Rattus norvegicus: one gene and its partners. The protein of the gene in region 3 interacts with the protein of the main gene of each other region in a pairwise test. Links are inferred from orthologs where the notes say so. Each region holds a gene or a part of one and is shown on either strand. Other genes may lie near its edges. The genes, in order: Zdhhc17, Otx1, Spry2, Hsd3b7, Prkab2 and Ubash3a.

Region 1 (4,174 bases), on a different chromosome or scaffold from region 3:
TAAACGGAGAACTAGAAATTCTGTTTAGGTTTGCATGGTTTCTGGTTTCTGCCAGGACGAAAAAAGAAAAAGAAAGAAAAAGAGAAGAAAATCGGTCCGTGCCGGAAGGAAAAGCTGTGCTGAGAGGATACACACAGATACAGCCAGCTCCAAAGAGAACAGAGATCACTTCTTTTCCCCCCCACCAGAAGGAAGCAGCTATAAAATAGCATATTCATCCTTTTCCGAGTGAATACTGCCTTTTTACCGACGATTACTAGGTCTACTTTGCCATTTTCATTCGTTACTGGGAGAGCCCAGTACTGAATTGTCCTAGCTTCAGGATCTTGTCCAATGCCTTGTTACTCCCGGCTTTTCCTCACCTCTTTAGAATCGATGATGTCCAATCCAGAACGGATCTCGGCTTTCCCTAGACCCTCCTCAGATTCTTTTGGCGGGAACACAAACCTTACAAAAGGGTTTCCTCTTCCATCCCCCTATTCTTTTTTCCCTTGTTATGTCTTCCGATTTACTATCAAATCTGGTTTCGTCCGACTGCAGGTTACCCCCGTCCCCCCACCCCCACCCCGGTGATCTTTAGCTGATTTGGTTTTGAGAGGGTTACTAGCAGAATCTCTAATCAGTCCTGTGTGACAATCGCTCTCTGCTAAATGTGCACAGGCTCCGTCGAGATTTACAATCCCTAGTAGCCAAAACCAGAAAATCCTTTCTACAATTGTTCTATCAGTCCCCTCCCAACCCTAAAATCCTCTTAAAGACGGCTTTAATCATTTTTATCTAGGTCACACTCTAGAGCTTTCATTTTAAAAGGTTTCACTTTAGAATTCCAGAGTTCTATTAAAATGCAGCAGATGGAACCGTGTGGGGCTTTGACCTTGTCAAAACGATGATTTAAAAATGTCCTAGCTCAACTGCAAGAGGGCATCACATAACAAAAGCTTTTCCAGGAAGCCACTTTTTGTCCTTGCTTCTCCGGGTATCCCCAAGGCACAGGCACCGAGGCGAGAACGCATCCTTGGTCTCCGGGGTCACACCCTAAGCCCTCGGCCGGGTCCCGACCCTGCCCTATGCGGCGCGGGATCTCGGTGCTGACCCGAGCGCAGCCTTGCCCTGGTAGCCGGAGCAGAGCAGCATCTGCTTCCGACCGGGACCCGCCCCCGGGCCGCGGCGCCCACGCCCAGCGCGGTCCGCTGCCCCGGCGCAGTGCAGCAGAGAGCACACTCCCGCTCGGCGCACGCGCATCGAGACCCGCGCCCTCCGCGGCGGGAGGGGCTGAGGGGGCGTCCGGGGGTTCGGGGGAGGAGGAGGAGGAGGAGGCGGCGGGCCGCGTCGCCCTCATCCGGGCTCGCGCTCGCCCTAGCGCTCGCCCTCCGCCTTGCCGAGCCCCGCGAGGCTGAAACGCTTTCTCCCAGCATGCAGCGGGAGGAGGGATTTAACACCAAGATGGCGGACGGCCCGGATGAGTACGATACCGAAACGGGCTGTGTGCCCCTTCTCCACCCGGAGGTGAGGGACCGCGCCGAGCGCCTTCCCGGCCCTGCGGCCCAGCGGCTTCGCTTCCCCAGCCTCGCCCGGGGCGGTGGCTGATGCGTCCGCGCGGTGACCTGTGCGGGACCCGGGGAGGCTGAAGAAGCGAGTCCAGGCCCGAGCGCGGCGGCGAGCGGATAACGGGGGAGGAGATAGCGGGGCGGGCCCGGCCGGGGCGGGCTCTGGGACGCCGTCCCTGGCGGTGCCTGGAGGACAGAGGTGGGGATGGCGATGGTTCTGTTTTGTTGCTGCGTTGCCTGCGGGTGCAGAGGCGACGGAGGCCTCCTGACACTTTGGAACCTCGGCTGAAGTCCCTGGTCTCGCTCCAAGCCTCTTCAGGGAGAAGAAGAAGCCTATCTGCTTTTGATTTTCTTCCCCTCTTCCCCTCTTTCTTGGTGGTGAATGACACTACCCTTCCCATTAGTTCACCCGTACCTGGGGGATAGTAGTTTCTTGGGCAAAGTGATGTCCTTCCAGGATATGGCATAGCAACCAGCTCGCCGCTGGTGACGGCGAATTTTGATGTATGAGTGTTTGCCTTTAAGCCATAAGAAAAGAGAGTGGGTCAGAACTTTCGGGAATAAACCCACGCACACATTAGCGTGTCACAAAGTAACGCTGTTTTGGGACTATTGGGAAGGGTAGACAGCGCAACACGTTTCCCACCGTTTCTTTTGTATCTTCTCATGAAAGTGAGCAGTTTTCTGTGCGGGATCAGTCACGTTCTGCAGTTGTTTACCTCCCAGCTTTGAGTTTGTGTTTAGTTAAGGCCTGGAAGCAATTCTTTGTGCATCCAGGTTTTTTAACCGTACGGTTCTATGTGAGGTGCGGGGAGGGCAGGAAAGAGTAGCGCAGTTTCCTGCAGAACTCTGGTCTTGTTTTGAGATTGAGAGTTGTGTACATACCCGTGGTGTTCACTACAGGGTGAACAAACGTGGTTACTTTGCGTTAGATTGGTTTTATTTCTTTATGGCTTTTGCATCTTCCTTTATTTTTCTTTTTATATATTGTGAATAACAAGGACCACTTTCGTATTAATACTCCGTTATTTCATAACTTGATCATATATATACACACATACATATATACATACACACATAGATGCATACAAATATACTACACACATAAATATATACACATATACACATTATCTATACTTACACAAAATGAGACAGTTTCTTAGAAATATATGCCAGGACAAGTCTCGTTAGAAAAGGATATTTTGGGTTTCTGACACAGCTATGTAGTAAGACGAAACTTTTTGAAAAATTAAAGTGTTAACAAACGTAGAATTGGCATTAGAGATTTCTTTTGGTTTACACCTAGTCCCTAGAAATAGGTCCAGGAACTTTTCTGATGTTATGTTGTATTTGTGGTTAAGGAATATTTCTGTTCATCTGTTCTGTGGGTATATTTCAAGCACTTAAAGTTTTTTATGTATTTTAATGTACTGTGACATTCAGTGGCAGTCGGATTAGGAGTTCAAAGCTCTTTGATAGTATGAATTGGAGGCCAGCTTGGGGCTCAATGAGACCAAACTATACACACACACACACACACACACACACACACACAAAACCAAAAAAAAAAAACAAAACTTTCCTTTCCTCTTTGTAAAAGTGTATGTCGTTACCCTAAACATAATTTTGCAGGGTGTGGTAATTCACATCCAGTATTTGGGAGTCAGGAATGTCCCTAAGTTCGAAGTCAGACTAATCCACTTAGCAAGTTCCAGGCCAGCCAGGACTGCATAGTGACACTGTGTCTCAAAACACTTTTTTAACCTAATAATAATCTAGAGATTGCTTGGTGTAATAGAGAGCTTGAAGTTTAGGTACCATGAGTTTGTTGTTTAACAGATGGTATGTTATTAGAAAATCAGCTTCCCCATTGTTCTCAGATGAAATTGATAAGATATAGATTTCTTTTACCAAGTAAGCACTAGGTCTAGTAAGTTTTAAGTTCTGTAACTTTGGGGACTGATTGCAATTGTTATTATTTTCTGTGGTTAGTTTCTTGCACCTGCTGTAGATCTAGTAGTGCTTCATTCCTTACAGTGTGTTAGGAGCAGAACAGGACAGGCTGTTTGTCTAGAGTTTTGTGAAATTGGGGTGGTGATGGTGGTGGTAGTGGTGGTGGTGGTGGTGATACTTAACTAATGGTCCATTAAGGAGCTAATGGAGCACATAGGCTTTTGTGTCCGACTGATGGGGATTACCATTCTGATGCTACTTCTGTTTGATCTCAATCTCTTCCTGCTTTTTTCCTTTTTCCTCTTCCAGGAATGGTGTCTTGTAGCCTTCAACTCCCTTTGTATCCAAAAATGACCTTGACTTTCTAATTCTCATACGGTGGATCAGCTATGTGCCGTAACTTCCTGTCTATGCAGTGCTGGGGAGTGAACCCAAAGCTTCGTGCATACTAGGCAAACCGTGTTGCTAGCACCTCATCCCTAGTGCTGGATTCTAATTTGGAATCCTCAGTAATTAAAGGAAGAAAAAACGTCTTAAAGTTTCTGTTTGTTCTTCAGACAATATCGATATTTCCAGACTGTGTTTAACCATATGGGAATGTAAGTCAGAATTCACGAATGAACACATTTTAGGCACTCTGGTAAGGTCATCTTTCCACTTTCACTACTAGACAT
Region 2 (4,076 bases), on a different chromosome or scaffold from region 3:
CTCTTTAACTAGGGAGAAAGAACTGCTTCTCAGGGAAACTAGACCTAAGGAAAATTTGGCTGTTGGGGCCTAGCGAAAGCCCAGATTCCGCATGAAATATTGGAACGAGGGAAGGAATTTTTTGTAAAAAAAAAAAAATTAGAAAAAGCAACCGAGGGAAATAAATTGAGGGAGGGGTGCGGGGAGAACATGCCCTCCTTAGCAAGCGGACACAAGAGGACCCAGGTCGCAGACTCCACAGAGCAAAAGTTGTAGGCTGCAGTTTCTAAGCTCTCTGAGCAGACCTTGGCTCCAGATCTGCCTGTAACAGATCTAGGCAACAGGCAGCGTGCTAATCACCCTCCTGGGTCTGTCGGGGGACAGCGTGGGCTCAAACTTTAGGGGATGGAACCCCCAATATTTCCAGAGGCTTGGGGGGTAGGGACAGAGGGCCACTGCTCACCAGGGTAGCCCACGGAAGGGTGCAGGAGGTCCATGGCAGGGCCAGCTAGGCCCAGCCCGTTCATGCCGTATGGGGGTTGTTTGAGGTAAGACATCATGCTAACAGCCGGGTGGAGGCGCCCCGACGGATCCAGGGGGCCTGAGGCCAGGAGCAGTTCAGGGCTCCCACTGCGACGTCCTTCAAGCTGTTGCTTCTTGGGGCCTGGCCTAGGGAGACAGGAGACACATGGAAACCTTCACCCGTAGTCAGTTTGGCTTTCAGCTCCTATAATCCTTGAATGGGGAGGGGGCGCATGCTAGGAACTGCACAGCAGGCAACCCGAGAGAAATGTCTCCTCCTTTAGCTCGGCAGCCACACAGCTTCTCAAGAAAGTAAACTTTCCCCGCTTCGTTCCTTCCTCTTTTAGGGCTTGACAAGGGCCAAAGACACTCCTCGAGTGTCAACAGGAAGGAAAGTTAAAGCGTGATCAGGCTGAGGAGGTGAGAGCCGAGACCGCGAAGGGTGCAAAATCCCAAGTGTAGTCAAATTTTTTTAGTGCGGCGGAAGCAATTTGCTCAAGCAAATGTTCATTTGGCGCCGAGAGGGCAGGCCGCACAGAGAGATACGGGGTTATTTCGTTTAGTTTGAAATGTTTTTTTTTTTTTTTTTGAAAGAGGGACAAAATGGCAAAGCAATACAGAGGCCCAAGGTGGGTACACCTCGGATCCCCGAGGCTCACTGGCCATGTCATTTCTTCAAAGATCTTCAGGGCTGCCTCCTACCCAGAGCCTGCAATCACCTTTCTAGCTGACCTCTCTGGGTCCCTGACGCCAAGAGAGATGAACATGAATCCCACCGCACCTCCAGGGCAGATGCGGCCCAGGCCAGGATAAGGCGGCAACAAGACTCCAAAGGAGCCACGGTAGAAGTGGCAGTTTCAGGACGCCGCTCAAGGTCAGGGGTACCTCCAAGACGGTCACCCCTCTTCCTTTGCTGGCGCAGGCCGGGCCTTCCTTCTACCAAGTCTGCTGAGCACACCGCGTCCCACCGGGGTTTGATAAAAGATGATCAACCCAGTGCCCCAAACATGCTAGGGATTTCGGAAGGCCGAGCGTTGCAGGTCGCCTCTCTCCCGCCGTCCTCTCTGAACCCGATGGAGAGCAAGGAACTAGGCCTCAGGTTGTAAAACTCACTCACAGCCAACCTGGGAGCGCGAGGCTCGGCGCAGACACTGCGAGCCCACACAGCTCTCCCCCAGCAAAAAAAAGGGGGGGTGGTGGCTTCTGGGGGTTACGACTGGGACCGCCGTGGGGAGGGGGGCTCGTAGCTACTTCCCGCTCTGCCAGGACCCAAGGGTGGGAGATTCTGGGGAGAAAGGAAGGTAGGACTAAAGCAGCTCCCCCTTCACAACTCCTTCCCCCACGCTTCAGTCCTAGGGGACCCGAAGCCTGGACTGAGGGGGCCCAGTGAGCATGGGAGGCGAAGGGAAGGGAAGGACCCGAGGCGCTTGGGCGGAAGGGCCACAGGCCCGCAGCCGCCGCGGCTCTGTCCGGCTGCGGCGTGAGTTTTCGAGTACTTTCGTCTAACTTAGCACCCCGGCTCCGCAGCTTCGGAGGAGGCGGGGGAGGGGGCGGCCGGCTCCCGCGCGGCTTGGGGTCCCTCGGGCTGCCTAGGGGCGCCTGGTCTCTCACCCCAGCCCCGCCCACCTGCAGGGGACCGCGGTAGCGAGGGTGGATTCCAGGAGGGGGAGGCGAGAGGGGCCACCATCGTCCCGGGTGGCGCGCGGCCCCGCGACTCCCTCCTTACCTGCCCTCGGCTGCCGCGGCTCTTCACCATCTACCTCGCGCCCTCACCGAGACCCGCGGGCAGCCAACCTGCAAAACGGAGGCGCACAGGTGTTACCCCGGCGGCGGGGCTAGGACCCCAGGTTTTCCTCTTCCCCAACTTCCCTCTTCCCGTCTCCTGCATTTTTTTTTCCCAGTAGCTCTGTGCGTGTCCCTCCGGGTTTCACTTTATTGCACAAACACTTTGTTTGCAAAGTCCCACATGCTTTTCCTCCCAAGACCCGGCCTCGCCCGGGACCCGGGGGGTGGGGTGGGTGGGTGGGGGTGTTCGAGGGACAGAGTTAGGAGGTGGCTTGAGGTGGCAGCTGCACTCTCGGTGCAACCCGGAGGCGGTAGGGATTGGAGAAATCCTGCATAGTCACTTGGCAAACTAAATAAATCAAGCAATTTACCTTGTCGGAGTGGCTTGTCTTGCTCGGTTGTTTAGGTGATTGGAAATGTAGCCTGATGAAGATTGATCACCTTTCTACTGCCCTCCCCGAGTATGTGAACGCGAGGCGAGTGCGTAACGGGGCCCGGCCGCCAATAGGGGGCCTAGAGCGGACTGAGTGACAGGAAGCCGGGCAATGGCAGCGCGAGCCGGGGTTACCTCCGCGCGCCCCCGCCCTCCCTCGCTCCCACCCCCTCCCTCCCCGCGCGCCGGCCCCGCCCCGGTCGCGCGCTAACTCCGGAGCTCGGGTGGCAAATTCCGCTCAGAAGGAGTCGAGGAGGGTGAAGGCAGCGCTGGAGTCGCAGGCGCAGAGGGGGCCCCGGGTCCCAAGGCTCGCCCGAGGGCCCCCACCCTCCCCTCGCCCGGGCCGCGCTCCGGAGGAGTGGCGTCAAGCTGCTGGATAACCGGTTCCTGCTCGCGCGCGCGCGCCGCCGGGCTCTGCCGCCGCTCTGTGGGCGCCAGGCTTCCCGGGCCGCGGATTCGGGGCGTGCTGGCCCCTGGCACTCCTAGCTGCGCCCTGGGCCCCAGTGCTTCCTCCGTTCCCCACAACCTGCGGCCACCGCGGGCGGCTCGTGCGGGCTCGGGCTGCTGAGCCGGAGCCTGGGATGGGGTGCAGCTCTCGGCGCTCAGGGCGCCCCGGGGCGCCCTGGGACTCTGGCGCCCAGAAAGAGCGCCGGCTGGGGAGACGCCGCCACTTCCCAGCTGCTCAGCGTCTCCAGGGGCTCTCAGGCAGTCCCCACCAAAGGTGTTCGCACGTCCTAAAAGCTTGCTTCTTCGGAACCGTTGGAACTCAGATCTTACACACACACACACACACACACACACACACACACACACACACACACACACACACACACACACACACACACACACACTGAATGGGTTTGATAGAAAACTTTCTTTTTCACACTCTCCACTCTCTCAGTCTCTCCAGGTCTGCACCTACAAAGGACAGTCCGGTGGGAAATGTGGCCACACACTCCGATCCCCCTCACTTCATTTTCTACACATTCCTGGAGGAGCCTCCTCGAAATAATTTCCCCGGATTGTTCGTACTGGCGGACCCCAGGTTCCAGCCGAATAAACTTGCCGAGATCGTCTACCTGTGTGTACTTTCCAAAGCGAGAGGAAAGAATATTTTCGGCCCAACCCCGAACAAGGCAATTCTTTCTTTCTTTCTTTCTTTCTTTCTTTCTTTCTTTCTTTCTTTCTTTCTTTCTTTCTTTCTTTCTTTTTTTTTTTTTAAAGCATGGCATCTCCTACTGACTACTAGGGACCACATTCACACCCTTTCCTAGTCCTTTCTCCTCATCTTCTGCCACTTTCACCCCAACAGGCGGGTGAAAAGTTTGAACCACAGTGTGTGCGTGGGTGAGTTCGG
Region 3 (4,085 bases):
TCTCCTAGGACGACTAGGACATAAAAAGTACATTTCAAGGGCAATTAAGGTGAAATTTTAAATAAGCATGTTAGCACAAAGTTATATAATTAAAATAAATCATTTCGGATCCCACTAGGTAGCACAGGAAAACAAACTCATATAAGACCACAACTCGTGAACCAAACATCCTACAAGACCCAAAGCCTATGCATGCCTTAGGTTCTGAACCACAAGTCATTCTCTTGTTTTACAAATAAAGCATGCAAAAAATAAATTATTTCCTCGTGTTGAAAAATACCCGAGAGCACCAAGCAAGTAGCAGCAACAAGAAAAGTTTTAGAAATCTGAAGTGTTACAGTGGAAACCTATGATCTTGTCAAGTGAACTTAAAAATTACAGTCATGCTTCGGTCTAGGAAGTACCATCCCATCCCCTCACCCGAGTCCACATGAAAATACAAAGGGAAAGATGCAAAACCGGATTTTTAATCCAACCTCTGCTTTTTGGAAAAGGACAGCGAACAAGGCAGGTGACAAACCAGGCAGAGCTGAAAACCGGATCTGCTCACCTCCAACAGCAAGGTACACAAGGCTGTTCTTCGCTTTCAACCCAACCCGTTTATCGGCTCTATCAGCGCCCCCACACAGTCCCCAGCAGGTGGGACTCAGCCAGAACCCCGGGGGACTTTTCTCCAAGCCGACTGATGCGGTCCAAGGGCCAGACCGGCCCCTCCCGTGTACAATCCGCAGAAGCTCAGGCAGGCAGGGGGCGCGGGCGCCTCCGAAGGGGACGTGTCATGCAAGGCACGAGCACACTTCCCCCTCCTCCACCCCCGCGGCTAAAATTTCCCCCAACCCAAGAGGAACTGCCATCCAGCCCCAAGAGGGGGAGCCACTCTTAACACGCCCACCCCCGCTGCAAGGTCACCACAAGGTGTTTCAGCGAAGGCCCTCAAAACGCCTGTCCTCACAAGTTTCCAAATCCGACGCCCTGAGGAAGAGAGCCTGGCTCAGGACGCACAGCTTGCACGGAGGTCTTATAGACCCACGCTCCCAGGGCGACTCCACGGTGCAATGACCGGAGCGGGCACTGTCTGCAATCTGCACACGCCTACCTCTTTTTAGATCAGGAATAAGACATGATTCTTAAAACGAAAGAAAAATAGCTTTATCCAGAGCCAGACTGCACACGCCAGGCATGCAGAACTCTGAGCCCCCGGACTGGAAACTTTCCGTGAGGACCTGATTGCTAGGGAAAGTAGCATCTTCGGAAGAAAAAAAAAGTGATTTCTACAGATCCCTGGCCGCCTCCATCGCAGGCGCCCCCCTTCCACCCTTCTGCGCTCTCCCAGTTCCTCTCCCTCCCCCTTTGAGAGTGCTTTGAAACCCCCATTAAGAACAGTGTGTGATCAGACTAAGGATTAGGGGGAAAGGACTTCAGCACTAGGGTGGGGCAAACCGACACAGAAACCCCTTTGTAAAAAAGGCGTTAAGACTCCAAATCTTAAAAACAGTAACACAAAAGAGGGAGGGGGGAACTAGCCTTTTTATTTTGCCACCTACTTTCAGGTAATGGAAACCGACCGCGACCACTTGATAACTCTCTTCCTGTCTAGGTCAGCCTAAGTGTCCAAATATATTTAAAAAAAAAAAAAAGCGTGACCTAGGCCGACCACGAAGAACGGAAAAAAAGAGAAAGCTGCACTTCCGAACCGCAGAGACGCGGCGCCAGGCTGGGCGACGCTCCCACCCGCACCGGGCTAGACTGTCCACACCGGGCAGAGGCGGGGACTCCCTCCGCTTGGCACTCTACCCTCTGCTCGCCCGCCGGGCTTCGGCCCCGGTGAGGTGGAGAGGTGAGAAGCCCAGTACCCCAACCCCACAGGCGCCCCCGCCGCAGGCTAGCTCTCCTATAACTTAGCCTCCACCGAATGGAAGAACAGGTTAGCAATGCCAGAGCCTGCAACAGCGACCTGGAAAACACAAAGTGTTTTCCCTCCCTCTAAGGCTCTCGGCGACTGAATCGTCGCCAATGCAGGGGTAGGAGTAGAACGCAGTGAAGCGGTCCAACGCCCCAAACCCCGCAAGAGAGTGAGCTGTCGCGGGACGGGGGACACTGCACCGGCGCACCCTGTAGCCCGGCCGTGGCCGAACCCCTGTTCTAGGCGAAGCAGATCCGCGGGATAGCTTCCTGATCCTCCCGGGAAGCCTGCGGGTTTAGGGGGAGAGAGGAACCCGGACCCCACTCCCGGCCGGCTGTGGTTCCAGAAGGGGAAAAGCCAAATGCTCCTCACCGTGATCGCGGCTTTGCACCAACCCCTCTCCCTTGGATTCTCTTCTTCCAGCGATGTGCAAATAAATCCAGTCCCGATGCAAACTTTTTCCTTCTCTCCAAACTCTGCTTCAGTCCAACTTCCAAGCAGTCGGTGGGAGGATTAAAACCACGGGAAAATTTGGAAGCCAAATCCTCCACCGTTGGAACCCTCCCGGATTCCGAGCTAGAGAGATGACCTCCGTTCCAGAAGCGCACGCGGAGTATTTCCTCTGCCTTTTTTTTTTCTTTCCCTTTTTTTTTCTCAATGAACAAGAGGCCGAAGCGCCAACGTTGGCGAGTCTCTCTTTTTTTTTTCCTGGTCGATGAGAGAAAGCGAGGCGAGCACGGCCTTACAAAGAACCTAAGGCCAGCTCGCCAAGTCCTGGGGGCCCGGGGCTGCTTCCGAGCGGAGGCAGGCGCGGGGCCGCGGGCCGGGCCGGGCGCGCGCGGGGGCCTGGGCGCTGCGCGCTCCGCCGGCCCCTCTCCTCCGCTGGCGCTGCGGCGCGCAGCTCTCGCTCGTGCAGACTGGGCGTTGCGGAGGCGCGGCGGCGAAGCCGAGGCGGGGGTGGGGGTGCGGAGGGGGAGGAGGAGGCGGCGGGGGAGGAGGGTCTGGGGCCCGGCCGGGGATGGGGGGCGGGCGGGGGGGCGCCGCTGGCCTGCGCCCTCGCCTTTCCGGAGGAGGCAGGGAGCTTTGCAGCGGCCGCGGCAGCAGTAAATGGCGTCATGTGGATCCGAGGCGGAACAGAGCAGTTGTTGTCCCAGAGGATATATCGCATCCGGTCCCAGCTCATTGGCTCCGCGGGGCTACATTCACTCGCACTCCAGCGCCCGCCAGCGCTCCGAGCCGCAGGAGGCATTCAAAAGGGCAACCGCGCCGCCCCGCGCGTCCCCAGTCGCTCCTGCAGCCCGGGCGCCGTCACGCGGGGCCGCGCTGGCCGCCGCGAGGTCAGTTTATCTAGTTTCAAGGAAACACTGACCTTAAGGGTTTCCCCCCCAGAGGCCACGAGCCGCGGGCTGGGGCTCACTTAGGGAACTTTCTTCCTCGCCGCCGGGAGAGGAGAAGGAGGGACGTTGCAAACTAACCCGGCCGCACAGCCTTAGCGTGGAAAGCCGAGCTGCAGCTTTTTGGATTCGATTTGGAATCCATTTCGGTTCTACCTCTTCTCTCCTGTGTTTCCCCCACCCCACCCCCCACCGATGCCCAGGGGGCGAAGAGGGTGGGGGTGGGAGCAGGAGGGGGAGGGAAAGGGGAGCGGGAAGTGAGGTGGGAGGGCTATTGGTTTATTCTTTGTCTACTGGATTAACCCGATTATACACCGGGCACCAGCACAGCCCGCCTCCCCCACCTCCGAGCCTTGTACGGGAGGAACGGAATGTAGATTCGGGTTTCAAGTCCCTTCTGCTCTGACTGGGATTGGCTTTTGATTGTGTGTGGACTTGTAGTTTGTTAGAATTTCATTTTTAAGAGGGGTTATCTATAGATGGAGGCCTTTTGAAGATTTTTTTTGTATTGTTTTGCTCGATGCAAAAAACCTTTTAAATTAATTCTGTAATACCCACGCGATTACTCAGGGCGACATCATGGACTTCCGAAATGGGGGGGGGGTCTGTTTCCCTACAGAAGTCCTCCTTCGCGAAACCATAAATAAAAAGAGCGTCATCTTTCAAATCCCACTATCTGTCACCTAGAACATTCTCATATATGTTCCTCCTGTTCTTGTTGGAAGCGGACTATAGTTAACTATTTAAAATACAGAAAATACATACGCTCTGGCCGTGGCTGGACTAAG
Region 4 (4,225 bases), on a different chromosome or scaffold from region 3:
CAGTTTTTGCCAACTAGCTGGCAGGCCCGAGTTGGCACCAAAGATAGGCCTGCACCCAGACTCTGTCCTAGAACTTGGAGACTGGGATATGAACCAGGCACAGACGTGGCAGGGTCCATAGCACAGTCCTGATGTGTCTAGCAGAGTCAGCAGCTTCAAAAGGTAGCCATTTCTCTCCGTCCAGGCTTTTGGGGGCTCAGGACCTGGAGTGTGCCACAGTGGTCTCCAGTTCCTGGCCCTGCCATCACCAGGCGGAACCCTCCATGGCCTGCACCCAGTGAATGGTGCGGGCCCTGCTCTCTTCCCATGAGAAGAGGGGCTTGTAGCCGAAATGGCGCTGTGCCTTGTTGGTGCTGACAGTAAAGGTGGTGTTGGCCACAGCCAGAGTGTAGGGATTCAGCAGGGGTGTGTACAGCACCAGCGGCCGAAGCAGCCACTGCAGCAGAGCGTTGAGGGCAGCCAGCAGCACCAGTAGCCAGTAGGGCAGCAGTGGGTGGGTGCCTATCAGCCGAAGTCCACAGGGACTCAGAAACTCCATGTTGAAGTCCTCGTAGCTTTTATAAGGTGACTTATCATAGCAGAAATACACCTGGCCACCCATGAGTGCTGCCCGCTGCTCCAGCTCTCGGGCCACCAGTATATGCATCCAAGCCACATTGCCTACCAGTAGGGAAGGAGGGAGAGAAGCTGGCCTTGGTCCAGTCCTCTAGTCTGCCCCATGTAGATTTTGCCCACACCTCTCTAGAGTCAAGGTTGCCTCTTTCCAAGGCCCTGTAGCCATAGCCCTCCTGGGTGTCCTGAAGCTACTTGGTTCCCATGTAGATGCTACCCCTTTCCCAGCGGAGCTGTTGCTCCCATTGCTTCAGTGTTTGGCAGAACCTAGGACATGTTTTTATGTCGGCCCTCCCGACTGCTGTGGATACTTTTTCCTTTACAACTCATGCAGAAAATGCCCACATGCCCACCGTCTGCCTGAGTCACTGTCTGCCTGCCCTCGTGGGGCCAGGCATACACTCGTGCCTCTGCCGCCTTCAGAGCCAGTCCTCTCGCCCTGCCTTCCCCTTGCCTTTCCCTGTCCTTACCAACGTAGACCCGACCATGCTCCACGGAAGCTGGGATGGCCCGAAACAGCCGACCTCCAAAGCGCAGTCCCTGGTGATAGAAGTCTCTCATGACCTGATGACCTTCACCATAAATGCCCGTGGGTCGAAGGGCACATGTCACCAGGGGTAGCCCTCCATTGACCTGGTGGCAGAGGGAGATGTTGGAAGATGTGCCCACCCTCCCCACTATGGCTGGAGATGGGTGCAAAGCAGCCTGGGAGTCGGGCTCTGCCTCTGCACCCCAGTCTTTGCTGTGTACCTTCCTTCCATTGGCCTCGAGGACCAACTGCTCAGCGAGGGCCTTGCTACATGGGTAGGGATGCCTGTGGATGGCCTCATATGGGGTGTCTTCATTGCCCCTAGAGTGGGGGAGAGAAAAGATCAGTGCTGGAGGGAAAAGGGGGCTCTGAGATTACGTGGGGCTAAGCTCACCTGTAGAAGGGGTGGCCCTTGACATTAGGCCCTACCACTTCCATGCTACTCGTGTAGACCAGGAGCCGAGTCCCGGTCTGCACACAAGCGTCAATCACATTCTGTGTGCCTGTGAAGGGAAGGGTCAGATGCAAGCTGTGTCTTCCTGCCTCTTGATTTCCTTCCACCCCACCCAGTGTCCAAGGGGAACCACCTCAGGTCAGGACAGGGTGGGACAGCAATGAATGGACAAGGTTATCAAAAGGACAGGCAGGTCCTTGCATAAAAATCACTGGCCAGAGTCAGGCCACACACTGGGGATTAACAGGTAGGTAGCACCTCACCCTGCACATTGACTTTGTGGATGGTCTCTGGACTGGCCTTCCCAAACACATCTACCAGCCCAGCTGTATGGATGACCACATGAGATCCAGCCATGGCTGCTGCCACCTCGTGGGCCTGAGTCACATCCCCCTGGATGGCAGTCACCTGCACAGGCCCTGGTGGAGAGATGCGAGGCAGTGTCAGGGCTGGAGTCTTAGCCAGCTGCTGAGTTTGGCCTGCATATACCCTGGGAGCCACGTGAACCAATGACTCACCCTGTGTGGGGTGGAGAACAAACACAGAAATCATCTTTTCCACAAGCTGAGGTATCCCAGTTTGGGAAGGGATGGGACCTCCCTCCTCCTCACTGCCTCACTCCAGTCACCTGTTTTCAGCTCCTCCAGCCAAGAACTCAGGTGCAGGTCAAAGACACGCAGCTCCCGGAGCCTGGGCTCCCACTCCAGCAGCATTCGAACAATATGCTCCCCCAGGAAGCCACAGCCACCTGTGACCAGGTATACCAGTGCTGGCACCTGTGCAGAGTCTGCCATGGCCAGCTGTGGGAAGAGAATTTAGCTCACTAGAATTGCCTGCCCAGCTGCTCCACTGTTCCTAGAAGAGAGCTATTAGGTGGGAGCAGTGGGTGGGTGGAGAGGCTGAGCAGTAGCTGTGGGTTCGTTTCCTGTGCTTGTAGCACTAAGGCTCCCTGCCCTCTGACCCTAACTGCTGAGTCACTAGAATTGGACACAGAAAGGGATTAGGGACTGAGACAGATGGAAAAAATGACTAGATAGGCAAAGATAGCAAGGATAGGCAGAGAAAGCAAGGAGTTGGACAGGGAGGTTGGAAGGGTTCAGAACAAGTAAGAGAAGAGCCAGCCGGGCCTCAGTACCACCTCTGCCTACCTGTAGGAAGTCCCAGGGCGCCCAAACTGGCCACTGGGAGATGTTGTGTCCTGGACTGGTGGACCAGCTAGATGCACACAGGCTTCCTTCCTTCCGCTCGCTCCTCCCTCCTGGCTCATTCCAGGAAGGAGACCAGCCAGCCTCCACCCCTAGGGGCGGGCAAGGCAGTTTGGAGGGAATTCTCTTGCCAGAGTGCCCCCTGGTGGCCAGTCCACCCTCCAGGGGCACCTGCCCACTTGGTAATGTGAAGTATTTAGGGATAGTGGGGTAGAGCAGACAGGGTACCTCATCACTGCTATGTAACCTTGGTCCTTCCCTCCTGTGGGTTTCCCAATAGAACCACCCGCTGTGGTTCTGGGGAGGAAGAGTGAGGTAAACCTGATCTTATATAACTCTGGCTGGCGTCCATGGTGATAGTGGCATGGTTGTTGCAGCCTATTAGGTGGTTGGTCCAGAGCAGCACTGTGTCTGCAGGTTGATTCACCCAAACTCCAGGCCATCATTTTTCCTCTCTTTGCTTCACCCAGTGTCAACTTGCATCCCCCAATCTGCTCTTCCCAAAGATACTGACCAGGCATTTTTGTACAATAAAGTTTAATCACAATTATAAAAATGTGGTGTTGGGTTTCACTATTAACACTATGTACAGTCCAGCCCAACAAGAAGGGCCTGCCCCCCACCATCCTGGCCTACTGAGCCAGAGCCCTGAGACACCAGGGTGGGAGGGTGACCCACAGGGTCTGGCAGGAACAGATGAGGCAGGGTTCCAGGCACAGAGTTCCCAGGACTAGGGGCCAAAGGCCCCCCCAGGGGGAGAACATGGCCACTGCCCCAGAGACCCCTAAACTGGGGAGGGGTGCACATAGGGCAGAAGGGGAAGTCCCCATTAACATGAAGCAAAGGGCTATGCAGCCCCCAAGAATAGCATCTATACAGGCTGGTACCCCAGGTTTCCACAGGAAACAGCTGCTGGCAGCTACAAAACATTTACAGCTTCTTCTTCGCAAAGAAAAAAAAATTAAGAGGGCGGTTGGGCATGGGGTATAGGGAAGGCAGAAGTTAACCTCAAAGGACTGAGGCTCCCTTGCTGGACTCAGGGCTCCCTATCCCACATGTGGAGGTGGGGGCAGTGGGCCCTGCTGAGCCCAATAAGGCTGGGGGTGCTGGGAGCTTAGGGCACCAAGGGGGAATAAATAGGGGTGAGGGCACCGGTCCTGCCCCACCTCAGTTGAGGGAGCCACGGCAGCTTTCAGTGCCACACAGACATGGAATCTTGTTGTCTTCTAGTGGGAACTTGTAGTCATAGGTGATCTCCTCATCCACGCCAATGGGCTGCTTTGAGTAGATCACGATCTTCTTCTGAGACTCAATGGTGATCACCTTAGCATAGCAGTTGGGCTGCAGGAGGGACAGTGTGAGCCACAACCCCACCTCCCCCCTGCCCAGCCCTGCCCAGCCCTGCCCAGCCCTGGCCGGCCCAGC
Region 5 (3,500 bases), on a different chromosome or scaffold from region 3:
GGCATGACTAGTAGCAGAGGCAGGCTTTGCAAACAAGGGCCTTGTCTCATTTTCTTTGCTCAGCGGATAAAGTGTGCAGCTCTCCAGGCAGGCACACCTCCCACCATACAGTAACAAGACAATGTGCCTCTGCTGTCGGAGTGAACAAGCACTTAGAAAGACCTGGGGGAAGGAGTACACATGAAACAAAACATCCAGGACTGTCCCTGCAGATTCAATTCTACATAGAGCAACTATTGGTTTGGTTTTTTTTCTCACACTCCCTCAGTGACAATTATAGTTGTAGGCTCTCATAAAATCATAATTGCCAGTTGAGCTCCCAAACTAGCTGATTCAGGTTAATAAGACAAACTAGACGCATCTAGCCTCTACAGGTAATATCACCAGATGCTCACGGAAAGTGTGAAATCTTACTGGAAATAGCATTTGATACCGCAGACTACTGGTGGATTACATAAAGGTAAAATGGAGAACAGTGTGTCAGAGTAAGAAAGGCAGACATTATACACATGGGACTTGTGTGCAAGCATGTGTGCACACATGTGTGTGTGTGAGATTATAAGATTCCGAGAAAAACATGAAAATGCAAAATAAAACAAGAAACCAGTTTGGGGAAGGAATATGCATTGTAAGAAAGACATAGCAAGAGAAAGCAATAGGATAATATTACCTCGACATGATGTCTCGGAGCTTTCCATAGAATCTAACTTTAAAGCATCAAATACTTCAAAATCAGATTTCTTGACATGGATCAAATTATTAATTGTGCCAAGCTGACTGGTAACCACAGGCTGAAACAGTGAAGAAATATAAACAAACAAATAAACAAACAAATAAATAAATGAAATAAAATTGGATTCCCTTTTAAATCTATATCATCACCCAAGTGCCCCTCTACTTTTATGACAAGTCCCTAGTAGGAAGCCTGTTGCCCACTGAACTGGAGGGTAGTGAGTCACAAGGAAGCCACTGAGGCTCCGTTGCAAATCCAGGCCTTACCTCTGATGGATCATGAACCCACTGTCCATCCACAAAGAACTTGTACTGGTGCTCTCCCTCGGGAAGATCCAGGATGGCAACAAAGTCATTATGACTAGAGAAGAAAACAGAAGGTCAAATAGGCCAAGTTCCTTAAGAAGACAGAGTGTGAAAAAGTAAGAGGAAATGATGGGGCTACTACAATGGCCTCCTAAGGCTTCCTAAGCTACAGTCCTTGTGCTCACCTCACCCCACGGTACAAATCCATTCTCTGCCTCTGTATCAGTCAACACATGTGCTTGTCAACCTCTCCCACTAACTCTGTTCTCCATCACGTGTGTGTGTGTGTGTGTGTGTGTGTGTGTGTGTGTGTGTGTGTGTGTGTTGGGGGCGGGGAGGGGAGTGATTGCCAAAATGTTTAGATTTCTTAGAGCTAGGGAGTTGTGCTCAGCCACTATGAGTGCTTGTTGTAAGCTTCAGGGCCTGAGTGTGAATCCATGGAAAAAGCTGGGCATGGGTACACACACACACACACCCCTCTGTAACTCTAGCACTGGGGGAGGGGGCGGGGGCAGGGCAGAGACAGGCAGACCCCAATCAACTGCTGACCAGTAAAACTAGTTGAAATGGAGATATTGTGGTTCAGTGAGATTGTCTCAAGGCAACAAGGCTGAAAGCCACAGAGGAAGATTCTTGGGGCTTACTGTGGCCTTCACATGCACACATATGGGTACACATGTCTGCATGTACATGCATGCACATGTACACACATACACACAAACACACGTTACACACAAAGCAGTATTCACAAATATGATTAACATAAAAGATAGGTTTGGGTTGGGAATATTTCAGGGTACCCTTTCCATAGTTTGGTGAGTCTTTTCTGGAAAATGACCCCATTATGTAGAGGGTCACTCTGACAACCACTTACATCATTCACTACTGTGTTGTCAGCGATAACTGGCATTATACCTAGAATGTCACAATGTATTTTACTTTAATACAGAAATCAAAGCAACAGGATTAGTGATTTCCAGGCTTCCTCCAGACAGGAAATGGCTTGAGAAGCACGGTCCTGAATGGCACACACACAGTGCTGTTAGAAACTCCTGAGGCCCTCTCTCTTCTTAAAAGGCAATCGGGCTGGAGAGATGGCTCAGCGGTTAAGAGTGCTGACTGCTCTTCCAGAGGTCCTGAGTTCAATTCCCAGCAACCATATGGTGGCTCACAGCCATAATGGGACCCGATGCCCTCTTCTAGTGTGTCTGAAGACAGCTACAGTGTACTCACATAAATTAAATAAATTATAAAAAAAAAAAAGGCAATTAGGTGCCGATTCCTGCATGCTGCAGACTCAACAGAATGCCTGTCCTCACCTCTTAATCAGAGGGATCTTGGTGCTCCAATTGTTGAAAGACCCAGAGATGAAGACCTCCTTGCCCCCTTCAGACCAGCGGATAACAGTAGGCCGGGCCTGCTGGGTGGGCTTCACAGAATCATCCAAATCCTGCTGCCAGGGTACAAACTCTTTGTCCCCAGGGAGCTGTAAGAAGGAGTAGGTCATCCCTAGAATAAATTATGACCCAAGGGTTTTTAAGATGTCCCAAAGGTTTTTAAGGGGCATTAAATTAGGCTTCAACTAAAGTGAGACAGCCCAAATTCAGCAACTAAATCAGAGAATGAACAAACTATAGAAAAGAACTATGGCTCACATCAGTCTCCTCAGAGAGCCTTTGGATCACCCAAAACCCTTCCTTCAGACTACCAGTTCAGCTTGTATGCAGGCAATTAGGATATGCTCCTGAACACCTCATAAGGAACTAGAAGAAAGTATGGTTCTTTAAAAGAAAATTAAGCCAGCTACATGTTTTTCAGAGGCAAACAGTTCTCTGGCAGTTACAATTAAAGTTAGAGATACCAAAATTCCTAAGTAACTAACAATGCTGTTTAGCTACTTGGTTGTACAATAGGGCATTAAAATTTAAAGGGTTGGAGATGTAGTTCAGTGCAGAGCACTTTCCTACCGAGTCTGAGGCCCTGAGTTTCATCTCTAGCACCATCATCCATCAATCGACATGAATTCGGAAACCACATCACTGACCCGGTAGAGCTGAAGTGGTTATGAAACCTTACTTGCTTACTTAGGCCAGGTTCATAAAATCACCTCAGGACGATACATGACATCCTGGAGCTCTAGGAGCACAAGATCAAAAGCAGCTTCCTTGAGCAAAAGCAGTTCCATTACTTAATGGGATTTATAGGGTTCCGAGGCCATCCTTCAGGACAGGCGTGGGCCAACCGCAGCCGTGAGCCAGACTGCTTTTACAAAGCTTCCGTTTGGAAGCAGCCATGCACGTGTGTACCTGTCATCTACAGCTCACTGCCACCATGCAGACCTGGGAGATTATGACCCTAAATTATGTGTATTAGTTGGCCTTTTACAGAAAAGGTTTACTCACCCCTCCTATGGAATGGCTTCACTGGCTGGTAAATAAGACTGCATGGTACCAGGTCAAGCA
Region 6 (3,151 bases), on a different chromosome or scaffold from region 3:
GGAGACTCAGGAGGTGAGTGGGTGGAGGTTCCTTCTATCTGTCAGTACCCACCCCTCCTAGCACCCCCTCCCATCCCCACAGAGGAAGGCAGGACCACACAAGGTCTAGCCTTCTCTTCTTACTCAAACAATGTCTCCTGACTCCTCATAGGACCTTTGTTGTGCTCTTAGAGCTGCAGAGGATGAGCTATGGGCTAGCACTGAACAAACCTTGAAACTTCCTGACATCGCTGACTGCAAAGAACCGGGGAGACTGCCACTCGGGTGTTAGGGTGACAGGCTTACCCCACAGCTCCTGCAGGTATGCTCTCCATGGGAGCAGGTGGGCACATTCACGTAGTCCTGCCAGCCCTCGGTTTGATGGGCACGTCATTCTTTAAAACGCTTGCTTTACTTGGAAGTTAAAGGGGCAGGGATTGGGGATTTAGCTCAGTGGTAGAGCGCTTGCCTAGCAAGCGCAAGGCCCTGGGTTCAGTCACCAGCTCCGAAAAAAAAAAAAAAAAAAAGAAAAAAAAGAAAAGGAAGTTAAAGGGGCATAAAAAGAGGGACACATACCTTTCTTACCAGTTGGGCAAAATCCCCACATTCTCTGGGTGGGAGCCCAAGGAGTGGCCTCGTGCAGGAGTCGAGCGCTGAGCTATGGCTCACAATGAGGGTGATGCCCACTGTTGACAAAACACCTCAAGGTCAGAGCAGGCCCAGGGAGCCCTTTGCAACCTATAAGTCTCTTCAAAGTCTTGAGGGTCCCGCTACTGTGCCCTGGTGAGATGGTGGGGTGAGTATGGGTAGGAAGAGCAGTCATTTGCTATGGCTTAGAGCACACCACCTTGTCACACGGGGCCCGGGGCTAGGATGTGGTGACTGTGTGACAGCTTCAAGGATGGCGTAAGGATGATGATGATCTGAGTCGCTGTCCTTGTGGATGGCTGCCTAGGTCCTGTCAGTCACAGGCGGAGTGTGTGATGGCTGCCGCCAAGACCCGAGCCAATCACTTTATCTGGCTTATCACGGTGAGCCTGAGATGCTGCCTGCTTTTAGATAAGGGTTAGCAGGACCTGGGGAGATGCCTCAGGTGACATGATGGGCTCCAGACAGCTGGAGAGTGGTGTGGGACCTGGCACCTCTGTGTGTGCCTCATGCTGGATAAAGGAAAGCTGGGAGAGATGGTGGTTGATGGTGTGAAGTGGGAGAGCTGGGAGCATGGCTGGCCGATGGTTAGGGCAGGTGGGCTGTGGCTATGCCTCCTTTTCCTTAGGCCTTGGCTACCCCTCTGTCATACTGGGCTTCTCTTTTCCCATAGTTTGTGATGACCCTGATGGTCTAGGTCCATTCATGCTCAGCATGAGAGCAAGCAAGCCTGGTGTGATGATTTGTATATGCTTGGCCCAGGGAGTGGCACTATTAGAAGGTGTGGCCCTGTTGGGGTGGGTGTGGCCCTGTTGGGGTGGGTGTGGCCCTGTTGGGGTGGGCGTGGCCCTGCTGGAGTAGGTGTGTCACTGTGGGTGTGGACTTTAAGACCCTCATCCTAGCTGCCTGGAAGCCAGTCTTCTCCTAGCAGCCTTCAGATGAAGACGTAGAACTCTCAGCTCCTTCTGCACCGTGCCTGCCTGGATGCTGCCATGCTCCCACCTTCATGATAAATGGACTGAACCTCTGAACCTGTAAGCCAGCCCCAATTAAATGTCGTTCTTATAAGACTCGCTTTGGTCATGGTATCTGCTCACAGCAGTAAAACCCTAAGATATCATAGGATATGTGTGCGTGCATCCACACTCTGTCATGGTGGAGATGACATACTGTCTTGGCCAGAGTATGGGGGTTGGGAAGTGGGGACGCTAACAGCCCAGAATCAGCTAATCCCATCCTAGGGAAGCCCGAGGCTGTCCTCCTCAAGCTTGTGGGACACTCACTGTCCTGTGGGCATGTGTTGATGATCTGCCCCATGCTCACGGCACACCTCTCCACGTACTGGTCATAGCTCTCGGCTGGCAAGAGGGAGCAGCAGGGGAATGCTGGCCTGAAAGAGGATGGAGAGAGAGAGAGAGACATGGGCTGCTGTTCTGCAGCCTTCTGGTGAACAAGAGTGTGCTGGAGCAGCCAAGTGGGGCCATGATCCTCCAGACGGCCTGCTGGGCACGGCTCATGGGTTCCCAGCCAGCAGGGGCTCCTGGAAGTGTTCCACACTGGCCAAGGGAACCACCAGCATGGAGGATGGCCAAACAGGAAAGCCGTACATCTCAGCCCACCTGGAGACAGTCACCCGGTGGGAAAGACAAAGATACTCCCCTTCACAAACCAGAGTGAGGACCCTCTTCTGGGTGAGGTCCCTGTGTTCATCCCCTTTTTTTAGCAGGAATACCCCATCTTCTATATGTGGTCAGTTTCCCCAACCTCCATCACCTCTAGCCGCCTTCACCAGGAGTCTTTTTTTTTTTTTTTTTTTTTTGGTTCTTTTTTCCGGAGCTGGGGACCGAACCCAGGGCCTTGCGCTTCCTAGGTAAGGGCTCTGCCACTGAGCTAAATCCCCAGCCCCTTTCACCAGGAGTCTTGACGGTTTGGTTGAGCAAAACCGTAACCCTCAAGCCATTTCCCATTCCCCTGATCCTGCTGGTACTATATACACAGCCCAGTCTGCCTTACTCCCCCACCTCACGGCTCTACCTCGGTAGATAGATTTTCTTTAACAAGGACCGGAGAAGCCTCGGTGGCCGAGATTTGCAAGACCCATACCTATAGTCGAGGTCAACATTGAAGTCTGCTTCTTTCAGCTCCTCCAAGGTCAAGAAGGTCAGAGTGGCCTTGCCGGCTTCCCACTTCATCCACTCGAAGATTCCGGGCTCAACTTTTATCTTCAGCCTCCTCTCCAGTTTGAGCTCTTGGGTCAATGGAAAACAAGTGCGAAGGAGTTACCATCCGCGTTACATAGAGAGGCTTCTTCATAGCTAGACCCGGCACGGTAGTTAGCGTTTTGTTTTTTTTTTTTTTTTTTTTTTTGTCAACTTGACACAAGCTGGAGTTACGCCTGAAAGCCAGAAGAGGGCGCCAGACCCCATGACAGATGGTTGTGAGCCACCATGTGGTTTCTGGGAATTGAACTCAGGACCTCTGGAAGAGCAGCCAGTGCTCTTAACCTCTGAGCCGTCTCTCCAGC

Evidence for each region.
Region 1: the proteins of Spry2 (region 3) and Zdhhc17 interact in binary tests that used the Homo sapiens proteins (3 or more experiments, as listed by UniProt). The link is inferred for Rattus norvegicus from reciprocal best matches to the Homo sapiens genes SPRY2 and ZDHHC17.
Region 2: the proteins of Spry2 (region 3) and Otx1 interact in binary tests that used the Homo sapiens proteins (3 or more experiments, as listed by UniProt). The two-hybrid records come from large-scale screens. The link is inferred for Rattus norvegicus from reciprocal best matches to the Homo sapiens genes SPRY2 and OTX1.
Region 4: the proteins of Spry2 (region 3) and Hsd3b7 interact in binary tests that used the Homo sapiens proteins (3 or more experiments, as listed by UniProt). The two-hybrid records come from large-scale screens. The link is inferred for Rattus norvegicus from reciprocal best matches to the Homo sapiens genes SPRY2 and HSD3B7.
Region 5: the proteins of Spry2 (region 3) and Prkab2 interact in binary tests that used the Homo sapiens proteins (3 or more experiments, as listed by UniProt). The link is inferred for Rattus norvegicus from reciprocal best matches to the Homo sapiens genes SPRY2 and PRKAB2.
Region 6: the proteins of Spry2 (region 3) and Ubash3a interact in binary tests that used the Homo sapiens proteins (3 or more experiments, as listed by UniProt). The two-hybrid records come from large-scale screens. The link is inferred for Rattus norvegicus from reciprocal best matches to the Homo sapiens genes SPRY2 and UBASH3A.

The regions. Positions count from the first base shown.
Region 1 is NC_086025.1:48,317,201-48,321,374, reverse strand, and holds the start of Zdhhc17 (palmitoyltransferase ZDHHC17), read left to right. Parts: upstream 1-1,374; 5' UTR 1,375-1,413; coding exon 1,414-1,506; intron 1,507-1,512; exon of another isoform or gene 1,513-2,219; intron 2,220-3,809; exon of another isoform or gene 3,810-4,174. UniProt on the Homo sapiens protein: Palmitoyltransferase that catalyzes the addition of palmitate onto various protein substrates and is involved in a variety of cellular processes.
Region 2 is NC_086032.1:100,287,622-100,291,697, forward strand, and holds the start of Otx1 (homeobox protein OTX1), read right to left. Parts: upstream 2,801-4,076; 5' UTR 2,658-2,800; intron 2,349-2,657; coding exon of another isoform or gene 2,029-2,348; intron 1,982-2,028; coding exon of another isoform or gene 1,894-1,981; intron 1,566-1,893; exon of another isoform or gene 1,283-1,565; intron 649-1,282; 5' UTR 540-648; coding exon 443-539; intron 1-442. Other genes in the region: collagen alpha-1(III) chain-like, read left to right, coding at 1,894-1,981, 2,029-2,348, 3,206-3,440, 3,621-3,855, 4,032-4,076. UniProt on the Homo sapiens protein: Probably plays a role in the development of the brain and the sense organs. Can bind to the BCD target sequence (BTS): 5'-TCTAATCCC-3'.
Region 3 is NC_086033.1:89,109,127-89,113,211, forward strand, and holds the start of Spry2 (protein sprouty homolog 2), read right to left. Parts: upstream 2,801-4,085; 5' UTR 2,276-2,800; intron 2,203-2,275; exon of another isoform or gene 1,097-2,202; intron 717-1,096; exon of another isoform or gene 551-716; intron 1-550.
Region 4 is NC_086019.1:191,841,263-191,845,487, reverse strand, and holds the start of Hsd3b7 (3 beta-hydroxysteroid dehydrogenase type 7), read right to left. Parts: upstream 2,801-4,225; 5' UTR 2,744-2,800; intron 2,396-2,743; 5' UTR 2,390-2,395; coding exon 2,224-2,389; exon of another isoform or gene 2,148-2,223; coding exon of another isoform or gene 2,114-2,147; intron 2,015-2,113; coding exon 1,859-2,014; intron 1,645-1,858; coding exon 1,536-1,644; intron 1,463-1,535; coding exon 1,363-1,462; intron 1,246-1,362; coding exon 1,083-1,245; intron 661-1,082; coding exon 245-660; 3' UTR 1-244. UniProt on the Homo sapiens protein: The 3-beta-HSD enzymatic system plays a crucial role in the biosynthesis of all classes of hormonal steroids. HSD VII is active against four 7-alpha-hydroxylated sterols. Does not metabolize several different C(19/21) steroids as substrates.
Region 5 is NC_086020.1:187,949,009-187,952,508, reverse strand, and holds part of Prkab2 (5'-AMP-activated protein kinase subunit beta-2), read right to left. Parts: intron 2,548-3,500; exon of another isoform or gene 2,546-2,547; coding exon of another isoform or gene 2,525-2,545; coding exon 2,358-2,524; intron 1,094-2,357; coding exon 1,000-1,093; intron 792-999; coding exon 671-791; intron 1-670. UniProt on the Homo sapiens protein: Non-catalytic subunit of AMP-activated protein kinase (AMPK), an energy sensor protein kinase that plays a key role in regulating cellular energy metabolism.
Region 6 is NC_086038.1:9,324,690-9,327,840, reverse strand, and holds part of Ubash3a (ubiquitin-associated and SH3 domain-containing protein A), read right to left. Parts: intron 2,876-3,151; coding exon 2,731-2,875; intron 2,018-2,730; coding exon 1,911-2,017; intron 666-1,910; coding exon 556-665; intron 1-555. UniProt on the Homo sapiens protein: Interferes with CBL-mediated down-regulation and degradation of receptor-type tyrosine kinases. Promotes accumulation of activated target receptors, such as T-cell receptors, EGFR and PDGFRB, on the cell surface.